Ovis aries: one gene and its partners. The protein of the gene in region 4 purifies or fractionates together with the protein of the main gene of each other region. This does not show direct contact. Links are inferred from orthologs where the notes say so. Each region holds a gene or a part of one and is shown on either strand. Other genes may lie near its edges. The genes, in order: AMOT, CUL4A, SAV1 and LATS1.

Evidence for each region.
Region 1: the proteins of LATS1 (region 4) and AMOT purify together in Homo sapiens (affinity purification with western blotting; 3 studies listed by BioGRID and IntAct, with this or other methods). This does not show direct contact. The link is inferred for Ovis aries from reciprocal best matches to the Homo sapiens genes LATS1 and AMOT.
Region 2: the proteins of LATS1 (region 4) and CUL4A purify together in Homo sapiens (affinity purification with western blotting; 3 studies listed by BioGRID). This does not show direct contact. The link is inferred for Ovis aries from reciprocal best matches to the Homo sapiens genes LATS1 and CUL4A.
Region 3: the proteins of LATS1 (region 4) and SAV1 purify together in Homo sapiens (affinity purification with western blotting; 3 studies listed by BioGRID). This does not show direct contact. The link is inferred for Ovis aries from reciprocal best matches to the Homo sapiens genes LATS1 and SAV1.

Annotation. Positions count from the first base shown.
Region 1 is NC_056080.1:121,831,920-121,836,645, forward strand, and holds the start of AMOT (angiomotin), read left to right. Parts: upstream 1-1,758; 5' UTR 1,759-4,726.
Region 2 is NC_056063.1:85,900,301-85,904,400, forward strand, and holds part of CUL4A (cullin-4A), read left to right. Parts: intron 1-202; coding exon 203-395; intron 396-1,561; coding exon 1,562-1,666; intron 1,667-1,866; coding exon 1,867-1,977; intron 1,978-2,051; coding exon 2,052-2,137; intron 2,138-2,688; coding exon 2,689-2,796; intron 2,797-4,100. UniProt on the Homo sapiens protein: Core component of multiple cullin-RING-based E3 ubiquitin-protein ligase complexes which mediate the ubiquitination of target proteins. As a scaffold protein may contribute to catalysis through positioning of the substrate and the ubiquitin-conjugating enzyme.
Region 3 is NC_056060.1:41,781,039-41,785,673, reverse strand, and holds the start of SAV1 (protein salvador homolog 1), read left to right. Parts: upstream 1-1,575; 5' UTR 1,576-1,935; coding exon 1,936-2,029; intron 2,030-4,270; coding exon 4,271-4,635. UniProt on the Homo sapiens protein: Regulator of STK3/MST2 and STK4/MST1 in the Hippo signaling pathway which plays a pivotal role in organ size control and tumor suppression by restricting proliferation and promoting apoptosis.
Region 4 is NC_056061.1:73,960,472-73,964,571, forward strand, and holds part of LATS1 (serine/threonine-protein kinase LATS1), read right to left. Parts: coding exon 3,950-4,100; intron 1,203-3,949; coding exon 1,020-1,202; intron 826-1,019; coding exon 719-825; intron 1-718. UniProt on the Homo sapiens protein: Negative regulator of YAP1 in the Hippo signaling pathway that plays a pivotal role in organ size control and tumor suppression by restricting proliferation and promoting apoptosis.

The DNA of each region.
Region 1 (4,726 bases), on a different chromosome or scaffold from region 4:
TTATTATGTTAACTGCAGGGAGCCACTTTCATATTCACCCTGAAAACTGTAGGAAAAGAGCTGACTTTCAAAAAAATAAAGCCACAGGGAAATGATATATGTATAACTGTGGCTGATCTGCATTGTTGTATGGCAGAAACCAACAAAACACTGTAAAGCAATTTTGCCATTAAAAATAAATTTAAAAGAAGAAAAAAAAAAAGCCACAAAACCTACACACCTTGGCTATAAATGCTTAAAACATATGAGCTGAATATGATTCCCAAACACATGTGGAGAATCTCCACGTGTGACAGAAACAAGTAGGAACATATACACGTGTGGAGTGCCTTGTGATTTACAGTTTTCACATACAATTCGTTTTATTTTTCATATACCAGTGCCATTAGGTTAACAGGACATGTCTCATAGCCTTTATTTACAGATGGGAAAAATTAAGGAACTTAACCGAAGTCGTCGCACAACTAGCTACTGAGTGCTTGAGTCTGAAGGAGTTCTTCCTTTAGTTCCGAATTTCATCTTTCCTGCTATTTCTTTGTGCTTTCCTTTCCCGGCTTAAAATGGTTGATTTTCAGTGTCTCAGGAAGCTGTTCTCAACCAGGCTGTGTTTTTCAAGCAATACCAATTTTTTCGCAGCCGGGAAATGTGAACACCACATTGAGACTTCTCATACTTTTTTCCCCGCTTTGGGCCTAATGAATTAAGGGGGAAGAAAAGTTACCTATTCCCGGAGGGCCGGGAAGGTGTACCGGATCCAGCCGACACATTGTCGTACTCTCTTAGGAGACAGAAAAACCAAGCGTCTCATCTTTCTTTTCTCGGCAGTAGCTGCGAGAGAACCGAGAGCAAGACAATAGCCTCTTGTTTAGTTTTATTAATTTTGAGGGCGGGTGGGACCAAAGAATCCGAGCGACGACGCAAGTGACCAATCATAAGAGAACCTTGGGCCAGGATTCGCCAACCGGTAGCCGTCAAAGACTGGTGGGCGGGATTTATTCCTCTAGGCCGGCCCCGCCCAGACCGGCCTTCTCAGCCCGCCCAGGAGGCGGAGACTCGGCAGAGCACCGCCCACGACACCCCAGTTGCCAGCGCGGCCCGCCGCCGGGAGGGGGCGGGAACGCAGGGTGGCGCGGGGGAGGAAAGGGGTGGCTAGGGGGAGTGGAGGAAGAAAGGAGGGTGTCTCGCGGAGCTGTGACCTGGGTGGGGGCCTCCTGGTCATAGGAAGCAAGAGGGGAAGGAAAACGAAGGACCGCTGCTCCTTCCTGAATTATTTTAAGCAAGCTTCTCGAGAAGCTGCTTTTCAGCATTTCTGTTATTTGTTTTTCTTCCTCCCGCTATGGGGCGGGGAGTGGCACTAGCTCTCCCACGCGACTCCGCTCCGCTGTTGCCGCACACTATTTTTGGAGTCTTTGCACAAGTCTTTCCTTCCTCCCAGCCAGTCTTTGCGTAGACTCGGGGCTACTATAACCGAATCGTGCCACGTTCGTGGGCTACCAGAGCAAGCGTCCCCGCTTTCGTCGGAGCTATCGGACCCGGGCGTTCAATTGTTTGAACTTCCCCGCCCCCTAGCTCCGCCCCTCTTCCGCCCCCCCACCCCCAGCCCGGGGTCCTGGCCGACTCCCCCCCTTCTTTCCCCGCCCTCTTCTCCGCCCCACTGCCTAGTCCACCCAGCTCCCCGCCCACCCCCACCGCCCCGGCTTCTGGGCGGTCCTAGCCGCTCACCGCAAGAAGAAAAGCCACCCGTTCTCCCCCTCCCCTAGCTCCTAGCTCCTTTGCCCAGGAGCTGCCTTCATCGCAGTCACGCCCCTTCCTTCTGAGGAGCTTTCTAGCTGCCTAAGCTGGTAGACCTCCTGATTTATTCCTCCATCTCCGCTCCCTTTCGCCTCATCTTCTCTTAGTTCTCAGCGCCCCCTCCACCCCCACCTCCAGTCTGTCTCGCCTCCGACCATCCGCTGCTCCACCCGCCGGCCCGGTATCCTGCCTGTCCAGTGCCACCAAGGAGAGACCGGACGGAGCGGTGAGGAGGGGAGCAGCCGGGAGCTGGGGCTTCCCTCCTGCCTACCCCTGGCCTCTGGCCCGGGACCGAAGCCACTTGAGCGAGCAGAGTCGTCACCTTGTCTTCGTTTCCTTCAGGGGTAGGAGACGCGTGGTTACTTTTCGCGGGGAAATGGGGCAGGAATCCGTGGTGGCGTGAACTTGATCATAACCTCTGCGTGAGTGAGTCGATCTAGATTTGCGTGGGGATGCCTGTGTTCTACTTTCTTTGCAGCTGGCCACAAGTTTTCCGGGATGTGCAGTAAGTTAAATAGGTTAAAGAGTGTGCGCTCCTTTTCCCGTCCTACGGAGATGCGAATGGGTACCACTATTTGATGGCACTTTTACTTTCTTGCCTTCTGGGGTCCTTGTAGGTCTCTAGGTAATTAAACACAAAAGGAACTAAAGAGCAGAGGGAACTTGAAGTCTACGTTTAGATCATCTGGAATGTCTGGGTTTATCTCAGATTGTTAGATGCATTTTTCCTAAATGCTTGGGGTTGGGGTGGGAGCTCACACTCCTCTTCCCCGGGGCTGTGAATTCTTGAAATCTTAGCCTGGAGGAGTAATCTACAGTGCTATACTCTTTTAGGTATAAGGTGTGTGTGTGGTCATGAAGAAAGGGTTGCCCCTTATTTGCGTTATGGATATTAGTAATTAGTTTTGCCTGATATGCAGGTATCTTGAGGGTCCCAAGGCTGGGTCGCTGTACACAGATGCTTCAGGATCAGAACAGCTTTATCAGGGTAAGCCAATGAAGAGAAGAAAAGTGAGAGACAAAGTGACAGTCTCTGTAGACTGAGCAATCCCTGGTTAATTGCTGCTAGTAATAATTTAATAGTAATTTGCAGTAAAGGACTACATACGATTAAATGAGAGAGGAAAGGACAGTTTGTGAGAAATGGCATTTCCAATCTCTAACATGTATTTTAGAAGGGATTTTCTGACACCTTGGAGTATCTGATTTAGTTTTCCTTCCTCTTCGCTGTCCTCCCCCACCCCCATGAAGAGTGGAAATTGGGAGGCAGATTAAAGCTTTAAAAAATATAACCCTCTTCTCCCATTCAGAAAGGAAGATAATTAGTCACCATAATCTTCCCTAATGTGGGGCTAAGGGTATTTAAGTCTCCTTGAACTAGGCTTTGTGAAAAGTCCTTTCTCAGAACAGCCTTTGTGAAGCTTTCTGAGTTAGACCTTTCAGCACCCTCATTTAGTAGCTAAGAACAGTTTGAAATACCATTTTGGATGCTAGATAAATCTTCACCCATCTCCCACCTAACCTCCAATCTAGCAAACATGGCAAACTTACAAGAATGGTGGTGTTCAAAGACCAATTACCAAGATGTCTGCAACACATTGCTTATTGGGGAATAAATTATTTTCTTATATTTTTACCTGATTTAATTAGTTGATTTCAATGGGGGAAAAGAAAGCAGGAAGGAGGGAAGGAATGCTACAGGGTGACAATTTTAAAGGCTATCATATTTCAGATCAACTGAGAAGGAAAAGTTGGCCTGACGAAACTACATTTTGTAACTGGCCTGGGACATTTTAATAGCCAGGTGGTTGTAGAGTACTTGCATCTATTTACAGATGATAACTCAGGTTCCAGCTATTCTGTATGGGTTTATCCAGTGTCATTTACAGACACTTTCTGGCACTACATCATACTTCATTTTAAGATACTTCTTTCTTTGGAAAAGTCTGTGGCTCCGTAAAATTGAAAGCACTTTTTCTTACTTCATGGTCTAGATATGAAGTAAATCTCTAACCATGCTTATATGTAAAATAACTTTTGCTTGAAAGATCTGTTCACCTATGTAAAAGATTTTAGGGAATTTAAAAATTCACATTCAATACTGTTTTGGATTTGGAAATTGAAATCTCATTTCTGGTTTATGAAGTAGGATTTATTAGACTAATGCATTACCAAGGTGTTTTGTGGAGTTGCTTTTTATGAAGTTTTGTAAAGACCGAATCAGTCTCTTTCTAGAATGCCTTAGGAACAGTCTATTCAGAAAGCAGAGGGATGGATGCTATGACCTTGAGGTTCCGTTGAGTGCCAGAATTCTAAGTGGGTACATCTGCTTCTGTGCCTCTCCTAAGAGCCCTCTCCCAGGGCCTGTGCCTTCTTTAAAAGGGTGTCTTTGTAATTAAGCAGCCCTTCTCCCCCATCCCCCTTCTCGTCCTTTGATCAGCTTTTTTAAGGCCTTTTTTCCATTTTGGGGACAAGAGTTGTTTCTCACCCTCTCCTACTCCTTTCTTAAGGTTTCTTTTCCTTTCTCCCCACCAAAGTGCCCCAAAGTTCCCAGGATGGCTAGAAATTGTTTTGTTTTGTTGGGGTGGGGGTGTTACCAATGAGGAAGTGTTGATGATATAGTCCCTCTTGAGAAATGTTTGTGACCAGGTAGCCTCTTCCATGGAGACTGAGCATTTGGAATGCATGAGAACAGTTTATTCTTAGGGTCTGTCTGGAAGAAATTGTCCTTTGCACCCATTAAGCCCAGCTTAAACCTACTGAAAGGAGTGGAGAGAGGTGTGTGTGGTCGTAGCTGAGCCTTTTAGGATGGTAAATGGGTAAATGTTCCAAATCTCCTATTACATCACCTCTTTCCCTCATGGATTCAGGGGGTTTGGAGATCTGCTTGACAAGTTAATTAGCTTGGGACTAAACCAATTTGTTTAGAATTGTG
Region 2 (4,100 bases), on a different chromosome or scaffold from region 4:
CTTCCAGAAGCAGAATTGTAACCCTACAGGTTAGTTGCGTGCCCACTCAGTTTTTAGAACGTGGACTAAATCTGTGAAGCTTCTGGAGGGACTCAGCACCTAGTACTGGGAGTGATTAAGCTGTTCAGCCATCACGGTCGCTTGGTAGCGGGAGAGGAACTGCGGCGTTGGAGCCCTGTGGCTGAGCTGGTGTGTTTTGCAGACTTTTGGGACAACGATCGTCATCAATCCAGAGAAAGACAAAGACATGGTTCAGGACCTGCTGGACTTCAAGGACCGAGTGGACCACGTGATCGACGTGTGCTTCCAGCGGAGCGAGAAGTTCATCAACCTGATGAAAGAGTCCTTCGAGACATTCATCAACAAGCGGCCCAACAAGCCCGCGGAGCTGATCGGTAGGGAGCAGGCTCGCGCACAGGCTTCCCCTGGAGCACGCGCCGCACGGGGAGGGTGGGCGGGCCTGAGAGGGCCGCCTTTCCGGAAGCCACAGACACCAGCGTGCGCTTCTGTGTGCTGAATCCATATGTGAGCACGTGATGTTTCCATTGGGAGCGTGTGGTGATGGTTTTGTGACAAGATGGAGCCTGACGTCTCAGGAGCAGGATGAGACCAGCAGATTTCTCCTCGCCTGCACGGCCCCGGCCCCAGAGCTCTTCCTGCCCAGAAGCTGGCCTGGGTTTGTCGTGTAGGAATGTTAGGAGGGTGACTGTTGGCCTCTCGACAGCGCCTGACAGGAGATGGCTGTTCAGGCTCGACCTTGTATCCCCCAGTCAGTGTTAAATGTGGTGCGATTGATTGGCACTCTTTCAAATGATCCCTTTGTATACTTATTTCCTGATAACATCAAAATATACCAGGATTCATGGAGTCTCATCAGTGAGGCAGTTTTTTTGGAATTGTCCAGAGGCAGTGGGCAGGGAGGTGTGAGGCCGTGGCATAGGGCTGAGCTCCGGTGTGGGCTGGTGAAGGCGCCTGGTGGGAAAGTGGAGGTTACAAGTGCGTACATTTGTGGCGCTCAGAATCAAGACAATGAGGGGAGGGGCTAAGACGAGCCAGCGGAAGGAGACGTTCAAATGCACCTGTTTGATTTGGCCTTTGTGCCACTTTATAGACTGTGGTTTCTCTAAAGACACATTCGGACTCTGGGGAGCTCGGGTTCTCCCTTCCTTTGGGCAGGTCGAGGCAGCCTGTGCGTCTCGAAAGCAGGAGGGCAGGCGGACCCACTCTGTGCCTGAGGGGTCAGCCCTGAGGGGAGTGCTCCCGCGTAAGGAAGCCTTGCCCGCACGTCTCCGCAAATCCTGCTGGCGGGCTGCTCCGGCTTCTGGAGCGGTCGTGTGCCAGGAAGCTCCAGTGTGGGACCGCGGGGTGTGTTCTCCGAGCCTGGAAAGCACAGATCTTAGAACATCAGGTGTTTGCCTTTTTGTTACAAAATAACATGTCAGTTTGGGAAGGTTCCAAGTGTTTTTTCTTGGAGAAATTAAAGACCTTCCTTTTTGTATTTAGAATATGTATCGTATTGTGGAGTGAATGCTTATTTTTCAAATGATATCCTCTCCTACAGCAAAGCACGTAGACTCAAAGCTCAGAGCAGGGAACAAGGAGGCGACAGACGAGGAGCTGGAGAGGATGCTGGACAAAGTCATGATCCTGTTCCGGTTCATCCACGGTGAGCTGGGCCCCCAGCGCGTCCGCGGCATGGGACCGCGGTGGCAGCCGCTGTGCGCGCAGCAAGGGGGTTTGTGGGGATTCAGCGGGAAGAGCTGGCTGGCACACGCGCGTGGTCGCCTCTTGGGCCGAGTCAGAAGCTGAGGTGAACATTTTGACGGCAACTGTTAAATGTCTCACATGGTTCTTGCTTATAAATAGGTAAAGACGTGTTTGAAGCTTTTTACAAAAAAGATCTAGCAAAAAGACTCCTGGTTGGAAAAAGTGCCTCCGTCGACGCTGAGAAATCCATGCTGTCGAAGCTGAAGCACGGTAAGCGCCGGGGGTGGGGGTGAGCGCCCCACTCAGGGCCTTCCTGATGCTCACCCGCCGTCCGCTTTGTGCAGAGTGCGGGGCCGCATTCACCAGCAAGCTGGAGGGCATGTTCAAGGACATGGAGCTCTCCAAGGACATCATGGTTCATTTCAAGCAGGCAAGTTGTGTTCAAGTGAAACAGCTCTTTTAAAAACACGCTATTTCAGATTCTGTGAAATGATTTTGCATGTAAGTATGTGACCTGTGTAAAATCCTCGTCTTTAAAAATCACGCTGTTGATGCTCCACGTACTCAGAACACTTCAAAATGAAAAAGAAACATAACCCCCCGGGATTCCCTGTTGGTGCAGTGGTTAGGACCCCAGGTTTCCACTACCGAGGGCCTAGATTCAGTCCTCAGTCTGGGAACTAGGGTTCTGCCGGTTGTGTGGCGCAGTTGGAAAACAAGAAAAGAAAACTAATTCCTAAAAGTGCACTTGGAACTCTGGCTTAAATGAGCTTAATGGCCCGTATCTGGGGCAGAAGTGAAGAGAGACGTTCCCAGTGGCGTTTGACCAGGGCGTGTGGCCTCAGTGGGCTATGTTCCAGGGGCTCGAACAAATGAAACGCAAGGTGAGCTGTAGCTGGGAAATGGGGTCATCGGTTTCTGGAGGTCAGTTCTGGGCGCTGCTCTAAAGTGGCCGTCTGTCCCGGCTTCCTGTCTGTGCAGTACATGCAGAACCAGAGTGACCCGGGCTCCATAGACCTGACCGTGAACATCCTGACCATGGGCTACTGGCCGACGTACACGCCCGTGGAGGTGCACCTGACTCCAGAGGTGAGCGCGCTCGGGAGCCAGACCCTGCTGCCACGCGCTCCTGCTCCAGGCCCCACGCACCGCAGGGAGCGTGGCAGCCACGCTCGCTGAGCCCTGACCATCCGCGTCTTCTCGGAGCAGCGTTCACAGCGGGCGCTCCTGGTCTGTCTCTGCCGGCTGCCTGTCACGGAGGCGCTGGTTTAAAAAGCTCCTGTGTGGGAGCCTCGAGCTTCCTTGGCTGGCTGATGCTCCCACCCGACATACCAGAGCCAGGGCCTGAGAGGGCAGGGACGGCGTTGTGTGGCTGAGACGGGCCCTGTGAGGGGGATGGGGTGTGCCTGCCGGCGTGGGCCCAGGGCCTCCGGGGCGACAGCTAGGCCCAGGGCCTGGCACCCGGGCAGATGTGCTGCTGCCCGGACCCACCCTTCCTGTTCGCAGGGCAGAGTCTCCTGGAGTCCCCCGTTTCTGGCCCCAGGCAGTCTCTGTCGCGTCCTCTCCTCCTTTTCCTCTTGCCTGTACCCCGAACGCACATGTTCCCTGGAAGCCCCAGCTCCGTCCCTCTCAGCCTCCAGCCTGTGTCTCCAATCCCCCCCACCCCGGGTCTGTCACGGCTGTCCCAGACTCAGCGCCCCTTCCCACATCTCCCCACGCGATGGGACGGCTCTGCACCCCTCCCCACACTCTGCCTGGCGCGCTCACGCTCCCAGGGCGGGTGTGACCGTGCAAGCTGACACTCTTTCCTGGAAAACCTCCACGCCCCGTCTGTGCCTGCTGGTTGACACTCGTCTCCCCCCTCCCCCTGGGGTGTGCGTGCACACGCGTGCCGGCGCTGCAGGACTGGCCGGGCGTGGAGGGATGGCAGGAACAGGCCAGAGTCCCAGGGCCTTCCCTGGGAGAGGAGGAGTGCAGCGAGGGTCGTCCCAGCTTGCGCAGCCGGGCAAGAGCACGGGCTCTGACCAGGCGGACCACCGGCGCTCCTGGGCTCAGAGGCTGCAGGGGGCCGAGGAAGCCTGCGGGGCTCGGGAGCGGGGGCAGCGAGGGTCGTCCCAGCTTGCGCAGCCGGGCAAGAGCACGGGCTCTGACCAGGCGGACCACCGGCGCTCCTGGGCTCAGAGGCTGCAGGGGGCCGAGGAAGCCTGCGGGGCTCGGGAGCGGGGGCAGGCCCCACCGCCCCTGGCAGGAGCTGTTGGAATGGTGGCAGCACGGGGCTGCGCGCTGGTGGGCCGCCGTCAGGACACGGAGCAGGCCGCATTCGGCCCAGCGGTGGCTTAGGAACTCGGACGCTGAGCCGCTGGCAGTGTCAGAGTGAGCGTGCGCAGCACAGT
Region 3 (4,635 bases), on a different chromosome or scaffold from region 4:
TTGGAGTAGGAAGCGGCAACCCACTCCAGTGTTCTTGCCTGGAGAATCCCATGGACAGAGGGGCCTGGTGGGCTACAGTCTATGGGGTTGCAAAGAGTCAGACATGACTAAGCAACTAACACACACACACAATCTTGTGTAAGTAGAAAATTCCTTGCCTTTTGTTAGTTGTTTACATCTCTTGTAAGATGGTTCCTATCTTAGGGAAAGAAAGCACTTTCCATTGTCAAAGCCTCAATTTGGTCACTAGAGGTGGATCCCATCTTATTTCTCAAATGTTATCCTGATCATTTTGCACCTTTGCTAAGTTAAATAGAAGAAAGCAGGGTTTCTTTTAGATTAAAAATCCCAGGTCTTGACCTTTAGTGCTCAAAATTCTCAAAAACAAAAACAGAAAGAAATCTAAAATAGGAGTATTTAACTCTATGAAAGAAATTTTCACATACTGAGGTCTGAAGAAGTCACTCTGGATTGCACACAAGTTTTTACCTTAGCTAAAATGCCCTGTTTGTGGATTATCCAACACATAGTGTACATCTGCTTTATTAACAGGCTCATTAACTTAGAAGTAATCTGGTGACTGGGCAACTAACACTTAACAAGGCTGTCCATGATAAAGACAAAAATTCAATGTCTCCCTTCCTGGGATGCCAATGCTTTTACTGCTTCAGGGATGACTCCCTTTCCACGTACCAAGGCAATAATAACTTCGTGTGTTCCAAACTGATTTTTTTTTTTTGAAACCTTGAAGGAATATATTCCTGACTTATTGAATGTTTTGTTCTGACAAAACTATGCTGAAAACCATGCTTCCCCTCAGGATGTCCTCAGAGTTACCTGAGAAGCTGTCTTCTGGACTTGTATTTCCCAGTTCGGCTCAAATAAAACTCTTTTGTATTCCCATGAGAGGTTATTTTTTTTCCATTGACAACTCCATATTTCCAAGAGGAAATATATGGTGGATAATGATAGTGATAAATAAATCACGCTAATATCAAATTTATCTTGCATCACAGATAACAGAAACACCACTTCGGCTTCTTCCTCCGTGTTTTCCTTTATCAGAAAGACGCACACTCCCTGGCACTAACGGGGTGTTTTCAACAAAAAGATCTAGATTTCTTTGGCTGCAGCATTAGCGTAAGGGTGGCGTTCCTTCGACTCTACAGGCGTTCTGTGCTATTACGGGCTTGAATTTACCAGCCCCCAAAACTCCAAGAGGGACGTCCTCTTTCGTGGCCGAGGACGCGAATGCATCTTGGGGGCATTACCAGCTCCCTCAAGGTCCTGAGAGAAAAATCTGCGGGTAGAGGAGGTTCCTCTGCAGGAGCGCGCCACGGCCTCCTGCGCTCAGTCTGGCACGTTTCGTCCAAAGTGCCCACCAGACCTGCTCCTCGCCGAGCGGGAGTGAAAGCAGCCGCTCCTCCTCCTGAAGACGCTGGGACGACCCGTTAGCTGAGAGGGCGGCCCCGCGTCCTCTGGCCCGAGCCACGCCCAGGAGCGGGTGGGGGAGGGGCGGCGGCGCTCGCGCTGCGTCGAGTTTCCCAGAATTCCCAGCGGCCGCAGGGAAAGTTTACGGGACGTAGGCGGCGACAGCGGCGGCAGCAGTAGCGGTTACTAGGTGGTCAGCAGCGGACCATGGCCCTGGCCGGGCGTTCCTGGCTCTTCTCTCGGAGTCCTCGGGCAACGACGCGGAGCCGGCAGACTTCCGGGAAGGAACTGACAAGCGACTGAGCGGTGACCGGCGCGCTTAGCGCCCCGAACATGCGGCAGTCCTTGTGGGCAACCCCGGGCTGCGGAGAGGCGGCGGCGGCGGCGGCGGCTCGGGAGGGAAGGAGGCGGCGACGCCGGCGGAGGTGGCGGCGGGGACACCCGGCGCCCGGCGCGGAGCCTTAGGGCGGCTGCTTGGCGTGGCCTGGGGCCTCGTGGTCAAGGATGCTGTCCCGGAAGAAAACCAAAAACGAAGTGTCCAAGCCGGCCGAGGTGCAGGGGAAGTACGTGAAGAAGGAGACGTCGCCTCTGCTGCGGAGTGAGTGTCGGGCGGGGTGCGCCCACACCTGGCCTGGGCGGCCGCGGGGGACCCGGGCTGGGTGTCCGACGCCGCTCCCCGCGGCTTCTCTTTCCTTTTGGCCTCTGTGATTTTTTTTTTTTTTTAATGCCTGGAGTGATGTTCGTTGTTTGAAAGCTGATAAAGAGTAAAAAACTTAAGTTAGTCCACCTCTGTTCCCACCCCCCGCCCCCTGTCCCGCCCGTCAAAATCCACAGACTTCCCTTCTTGAAACTATGTTGTTGGTTTTGATTACTGGAAGAAAGATATTCTTTAGGAAACAAATTGCTCATCCGCTGGTTCTGTAGGAATTAAAGGGATTACACTGGGGCACGTTTTCCTCTTGTGACGTCTAGATTTGCATTGTGTTTGCAAACACTGTGGGTGTCACTTGCTCTGCTCGTAGTTGTGCGAACGCTTGAGTAGAATTCTTAGTCCAGCTATTGGATGATGACGTCCGGAGGTGAAAGCTGACCGTCGCTATTGTAGCTGCTGCCCAAAAAGCCTCCTCAGTTGTAGATCTCAGGGTTGAAGAGCCAAAATTATATGTGTTTGGCTGTGTTCATGAGAATTTCTTCAAATAAAACCTCCTAGAAATCCGCCAAAGACTCAAAATAATTTCCATCATACTTTGGGGAAAATTACGAAAAAAGTTGTGTGTGTGGTTATAAACATTTTTTAATAGAGTGCATTTCGCTGGCACTTTATCTTCAATTTAAGTATTTGACTCTAATTTTCCTCCTGAATCTTTTACGTTTTTAATTCTTGCTTATGTGTTCAGAACATTTGTGAGGTAAGGAGCAAGTTTTTTGGTGTTCATACTAAATGCTGGGTCCTTTGTTAAGTTTCCTTCTTGGAAGCTGGTGACTTTGTGACTTAAGCATTACCTCATATTGTAATTGGGAAAGCTTTTCATAGAGGTTCCTGGTAATATTTGCCCAAGATCACACAAAAAGGGGTGGAGAGCATGTTTTCCCATTATAACCACATCATCAACCTTCCAGATTTATCCTTGTATTTGCAATGCTTTCTTACAGAACAGATCAGATGGGTACATCAGTAACCTGAAACTTGATTTTTAAAAACTTTTTTTAATAGTTTATTTTTCATTTACATATTCTCTTAGGATTTTGGCCAAGTTTAGGTTAGCTTGCAGTTAGCTTCAGATAACAGTGTTATTCAACATTCCTTAAAATCATGAAATATGTTTGCCACACCTTTTAGCAAATAACTTTTGATATATAGTATTTTGTTTTAGTTTCATCAAATGTTGAACCTTGTTTATTCGGTTACTAATTTTTGTGTGTTTGGCTTCTGTTGCATATTAATATGCGTGCCCTCTGATACTGTCTACTTAGTGAACTAATAAAATGGTCTCCAGATCCAGTTTTCTTCTTGTTTTAAAGGTGTTTGCTTTCTAACCAGGAATGCTTAAGGTATTTATTTAAGTTTTATATTCAGAAGTACTGTACCCTTAAAGCCATTGCCCTGTTTTCTTCTGTTTTGAATTGTAATTGTTCTTAATTGTTTTGAATTGTAATGGTTTTAGACTTGGCGTTTTTTGTTTGTTTGTTTGTTTTTGAACTGATTCAACATTTGTGTGTCTCTTTGAAATGAGATTTAAAAAAAATTTTAATTTTCATAGCTTAATTTTTAGTTTTTCCATCTTTTGAGTATTGTACTATTGCTACGTAATTCCAAGAGTAGGAATGCCAGGTTAATAATTTTTAAATTTTTTTTTAAGGAATTCGCCTTTACATGTTTGAGAATAGCATTATGATCTGTTTCATTTTTTAAATTGTGTTTTACTTAAAGAAGAGTTTGGGAATGAAGTACAATCTGCAAAACAAACTAATGTTAAATTATGCTGGTAACTGTATTCATTTGTTAGATTGTTTACTATTTTTATACATTTATTCATGAGCATTAATACATATTTTGTAGTTAAACTTACTGATGTTTCATTATATTATGTTTGGTAGTATGCAGAATATGTTTGAATCTGGTAGAGCATACTTATAACACATTCATACAAATTATAAATTCATTTGAGTGGGAATATGGCAATCAGCCTCAATTTAAAATACCCAGATACTTTGCTAAAGTTTCTGATTGTGTTTTCTTAAGTCCATTGAAATTTTTCATTTTGGGGTAAGATGTAAATAAACAACTTTGGAAAAGCATATTACTTACTAGTCATTTTATTCTTTTGTTTTATTATAGATCTTATGCCTTCTTTTATCCGGCACGGTCCAACAATTCCAAGACGAACTGATATCTGTCTTCCAGATTCAAGCGCTAATGCCTTTTCAGCTTCTGGAGATGGAATAGTTTCAAGAAACCATAGTTTCCTTAGAACTCCAATTCAAAGAACACCTCATGAAATGATGAGAAGAGAAAGCAACAGATTATCTGCACCTTCTTACCTTGCGAGGAGTCTAGCAGATGTCCCTAGGGAATATGGCTCTTCTCAGTCATTTTTAACAGAAGTTAACTTTGCTCCCGAAAATGGAGACTCTGGTTCCCGATATTATTATTCAGATAATTATTTTGATGGTCAGAGGAGGCGCCCACTTGGAGATCGTGGA
Region 4 (4,100 bases):
AAAATAAAGATACTTTCAGACAAATCTGACACAAACCTGAGAGAATGTATTACCAGTAAACCTGTAACAAAAGAAATTCTGAAGAAGTTTTAAATATAGTGTATTAAATGAAGTGACAGACAGAACATAACTTGGGTAGAGTGTCACAGAAGAGACAGTATGTCAAGACACACTCAAAGAATGATTAAAAATGCCCAGGAGTGAAACACAAAGGAGGGAAAGTTGTGAAACATGGGAGAGAAAGAAGGGTATTCCGTACAGAGGGAATGGTATGAACACAGGAACAGAGGAAAGACTGGGACTTTATAGACAAAGCCACGAAAAGGTTTCTTAAATGGGATAATTTATGATCAACATTGTGAGCAGCTTTTCATTTAAATGCTAGGGAGATACAGACATTTGTTAGTAGTTTGGGGCCAGAATGTACGTGCAAGGAAACAAAGCCAGCAGTCAGTAGAAAGAATAAACTGGAATACATCTTCAAAAGGTACTAAAAACTTGTAAGAGGAAGAACCGTGAATGTAGTATATGCATGAGGAAGGATATGGGGGTGGTAAAATCCCACGGGGGAGAGCACACGTGGAATTTCAGTGGGTTCCTATATCCTTACAAGCTCATTCTTTAATTGTAAATTAAGATGCTCTAAATAAAGGACTGATAAAGGTGTATGGTATTGGGGCTTCATAACAATTATTTTGGTACAGATTCTACACCTTACCTTCACTTGTGTTTCAAATGGTGTCTGTGCCAAGAAAGGCGGCTGTCCCACCAACATTTCAAAAAGAATGACACCAACACTCCACCAATCACACAACTGTGTATAGCCTAAAATTAGACACCAAATTTATGGTTATTCATAAGCACTTTTGAAAAAACTGCTCAGAATGAATACAATGAAAATTAATATTAAATCGCCAATTTATACTATAGAATTAATACTTTTATTGTAAACCTGAACCATTAACCATATTCTCCTGGTCTACAGGCACACTGAGATTCTTTATAGGACAAACGTCTACCTGTTCGTAACAAGACTTCAGGCGCAATATAATTAGGAGTCCCAACCAAAGAATGTGCGAGACACCGCTGGTGCTGGCGTGCAGCTCTCCGCTCCAGTGGTTTCAGTCTATCACCACATCGACAGTTAGAGGGGTCACCCCATTCATTACTGAAATCCATGCTATCTTGCCGTGGATGGTCACCTGTATAGTAAAATAAATAAATACATAAATAAAAACAACAATAGTAGACCTATCTGTTTAATCTTTAGACATCCTAAAGTTAACAACACTTCCCCGTGTTGACAAGCTAAGACACAATGTATGCCAAATCACTGACGCTGTACTTATTAATAACTAGAGACTGTACTCTTGAAATACCAAAGGATAAATCTTACACTAAGAAAAATTAGTCTAAGATGTAGTAATTTACTCAACAACAAATGATGACAATAAAAGTTATTGAGTAGGCAGGACCGATAATTTGTTATTCAGGCTGCTCTCCAATTATTCTGGACAAAGTTTCAAACAAATTAGATTTGTGTTTCATTTATTCAGCAAATGACAACATTAACAATTGAAGACAATATTCTTCTCTCAGGCAGGTTATCTGTAGGGGAAAAATATAACAAATACATATGTGAGAACCAGTGATGTGTCCCGCACAGAGAATCAACATGCGGTGATAGGGCAAATGTGCTGAGGTGGCATTTGTTTAAAAAGAAAAAAAGAGGAACTCAACAATATGAAAACCAGACAAGGCATTCTACACACAACAGTACTTGAGAGGACCAGTGTGGTTAGTAAAGGGGAGAATGGAACGAAATGGAGCAGGAGACAGCGCACATGGGTTTTACAAGCAAAAGAAACGGTTTGCCTTTTACTTCAAGTACAGTGAAGATACTGGAATACATATGTGTGTGTGTGTGTGTATTTATACATATGAATATACTTATATATACAGAAGTATTAAATGAAGGCATTTCTTTTAAAACACGTATCAGACCTTTTCATTCTCTTGAAGTGATGAAAAGGTCTGATATATGTTTAAAAAGGAAAACTTTTAACTGCTATATAGAGAATAGAGTATAGGGAGGACAAGGGTGAAAAAGAGACCAGGTAAGAGGCTATTACAGTTAAGTTTGGACTATGATGATAATAGTACAGATGGAGAAAAGTGAACACATTTAGAATCAAGGATGGGTGGTGGTAGTACAATTTACCAAAAAGGAGGGGGAACAAATAGGGAGGGGGAGAAATTAAGAATCGTTGATTAGCAGTCTTAAGTTTGAAAGGCCTATTAGGAATCCGTGTGAAAGGGAGAGGACATTTCTGAAGAGAGATTTCGAAGTCATTGATGCAGAGGTAGTAATTAAAGCTATGACTGGATGAAATCACCTAGGGGAAAAAAAAAATCTGAAATTAACCTATCTGTAATAAACGGGGATGTTTGATTAAAAAATAATTTCTACCCTCCAGTGGAGATTTTCAATCAGAAGACTGGAAGAGAGTCTAAGAATCATATTTTTAAGATAAGCCCCAGATAAGATTCAGGTAAATCTGGGGAGATATTAAATTATGGAGAAAGCAATGGCACCCCACTCCAGTACTCTAGCCTAGAAAATCCCATGGAGGAGCCTGGTAGGCTGCAGTCCATGGGGTCGCTAAGAGTCGGACACGACTGAGCGACTTCACTTTCACTTTCCACTTTTATGCATTGGAGAAGGAAACGGCAGCCCACTCTGGTGTTCTTGCCTGGAGAATGCCAGGGTCAGGGGAGCCTGGTGGGCTGCCGTCTATGGGGTCGCACAGAGTCGGACACGACTGAAGTGACTTAGCAGCAGCAGCAACCTGAACTTTAAAGTAGCTTCAGATATCTTAAGTTCTATCTATTTAATGTAAATCCACTTGTGTTCACAAGAAGCATTGGAGGCAATAATACTTACCTCAGAGGATTGCTGTGAACATTAAATTAGAATATATATAAAGCACCTAGTCATGGTAAGTATTCAACAAATGTTAGATTGACTTACACTTCCATTAGTGCTTGGAGGGATCTTGGTGAGGCAGTGTGGTATAGCAGAAATAACATGGGCCCTGTAAGCAGACAAACCTGGGTTCAAAGCCTAGCCCTTACACTTATTTTCTGTCCGACCATGGGCAAATTTCTAACTTAGCCTCAGGTTCTTCACTCTGCCTCACAATGACATTGTGAGGATTAAAGAGAATCATGCACATCAAGTGTTTAAACAAGCTGTATAACAGTCATACAATGGAATCCTAAAGAGCTGTGAAAATAAATGTTATCATTTATTTATATGCAGGAACACAGATGAACCTCAAACAAATAAAGGAAGTCAACATAGAAGAATACATGTAAAATGATTACATTTAAATAAAGGTTCAAGGGTAGGCAAAATGAAGTAGTATGTTGTTCAGGGATATGCATAAAACTATACAGAAAAGTAAAGAACTGATTATGGAGTTTTGAAATAAAGGTTACCTCTATGGAGGAAAGAAAACGAAGTGATTGTTTAGGGACTTCAAAAATAGTAATAACCTAGTTCTTAAGTTGAGTGGTGTGTAGGGGGCTTCATTTAAAAATTATTTCCAAACTGTCATATGACAGAAAACCACAAAATTCTGTAAAGCAATTATCCTTCAATTAAAAAATTAAAAATTATTTTCAAATTGTTATTTGTCTGACACATTTCACATTAACAAAATGTAAAGAGATTAATTAAAAAATGTTAATGACATTTAGAAATAATTAATTCTAACACACACTTTCATTTTATAAATCTAAGTATCTAAAGGATTCACTCACATTTATCCAATGGAGTTAAGACCTGACCCAGGACTTCTGGCTCCCATCCAGGGATAATATCATCTTATATTTTATTACACTAATAAGTCATATGAATACATACAAATTTTATGATTTTACTCACCACTCTGGTAGTACTTAGAGTCATGTGTCCATCTGAAGCCAGTGCAGAGACCGAAGTCAGTCAATTTAATATGACCATCACGATCGATCAAAATGTTATCAGGTTTAATATCTCTATGAATAAAACCCATTTTATGAACACTTTCGACTGC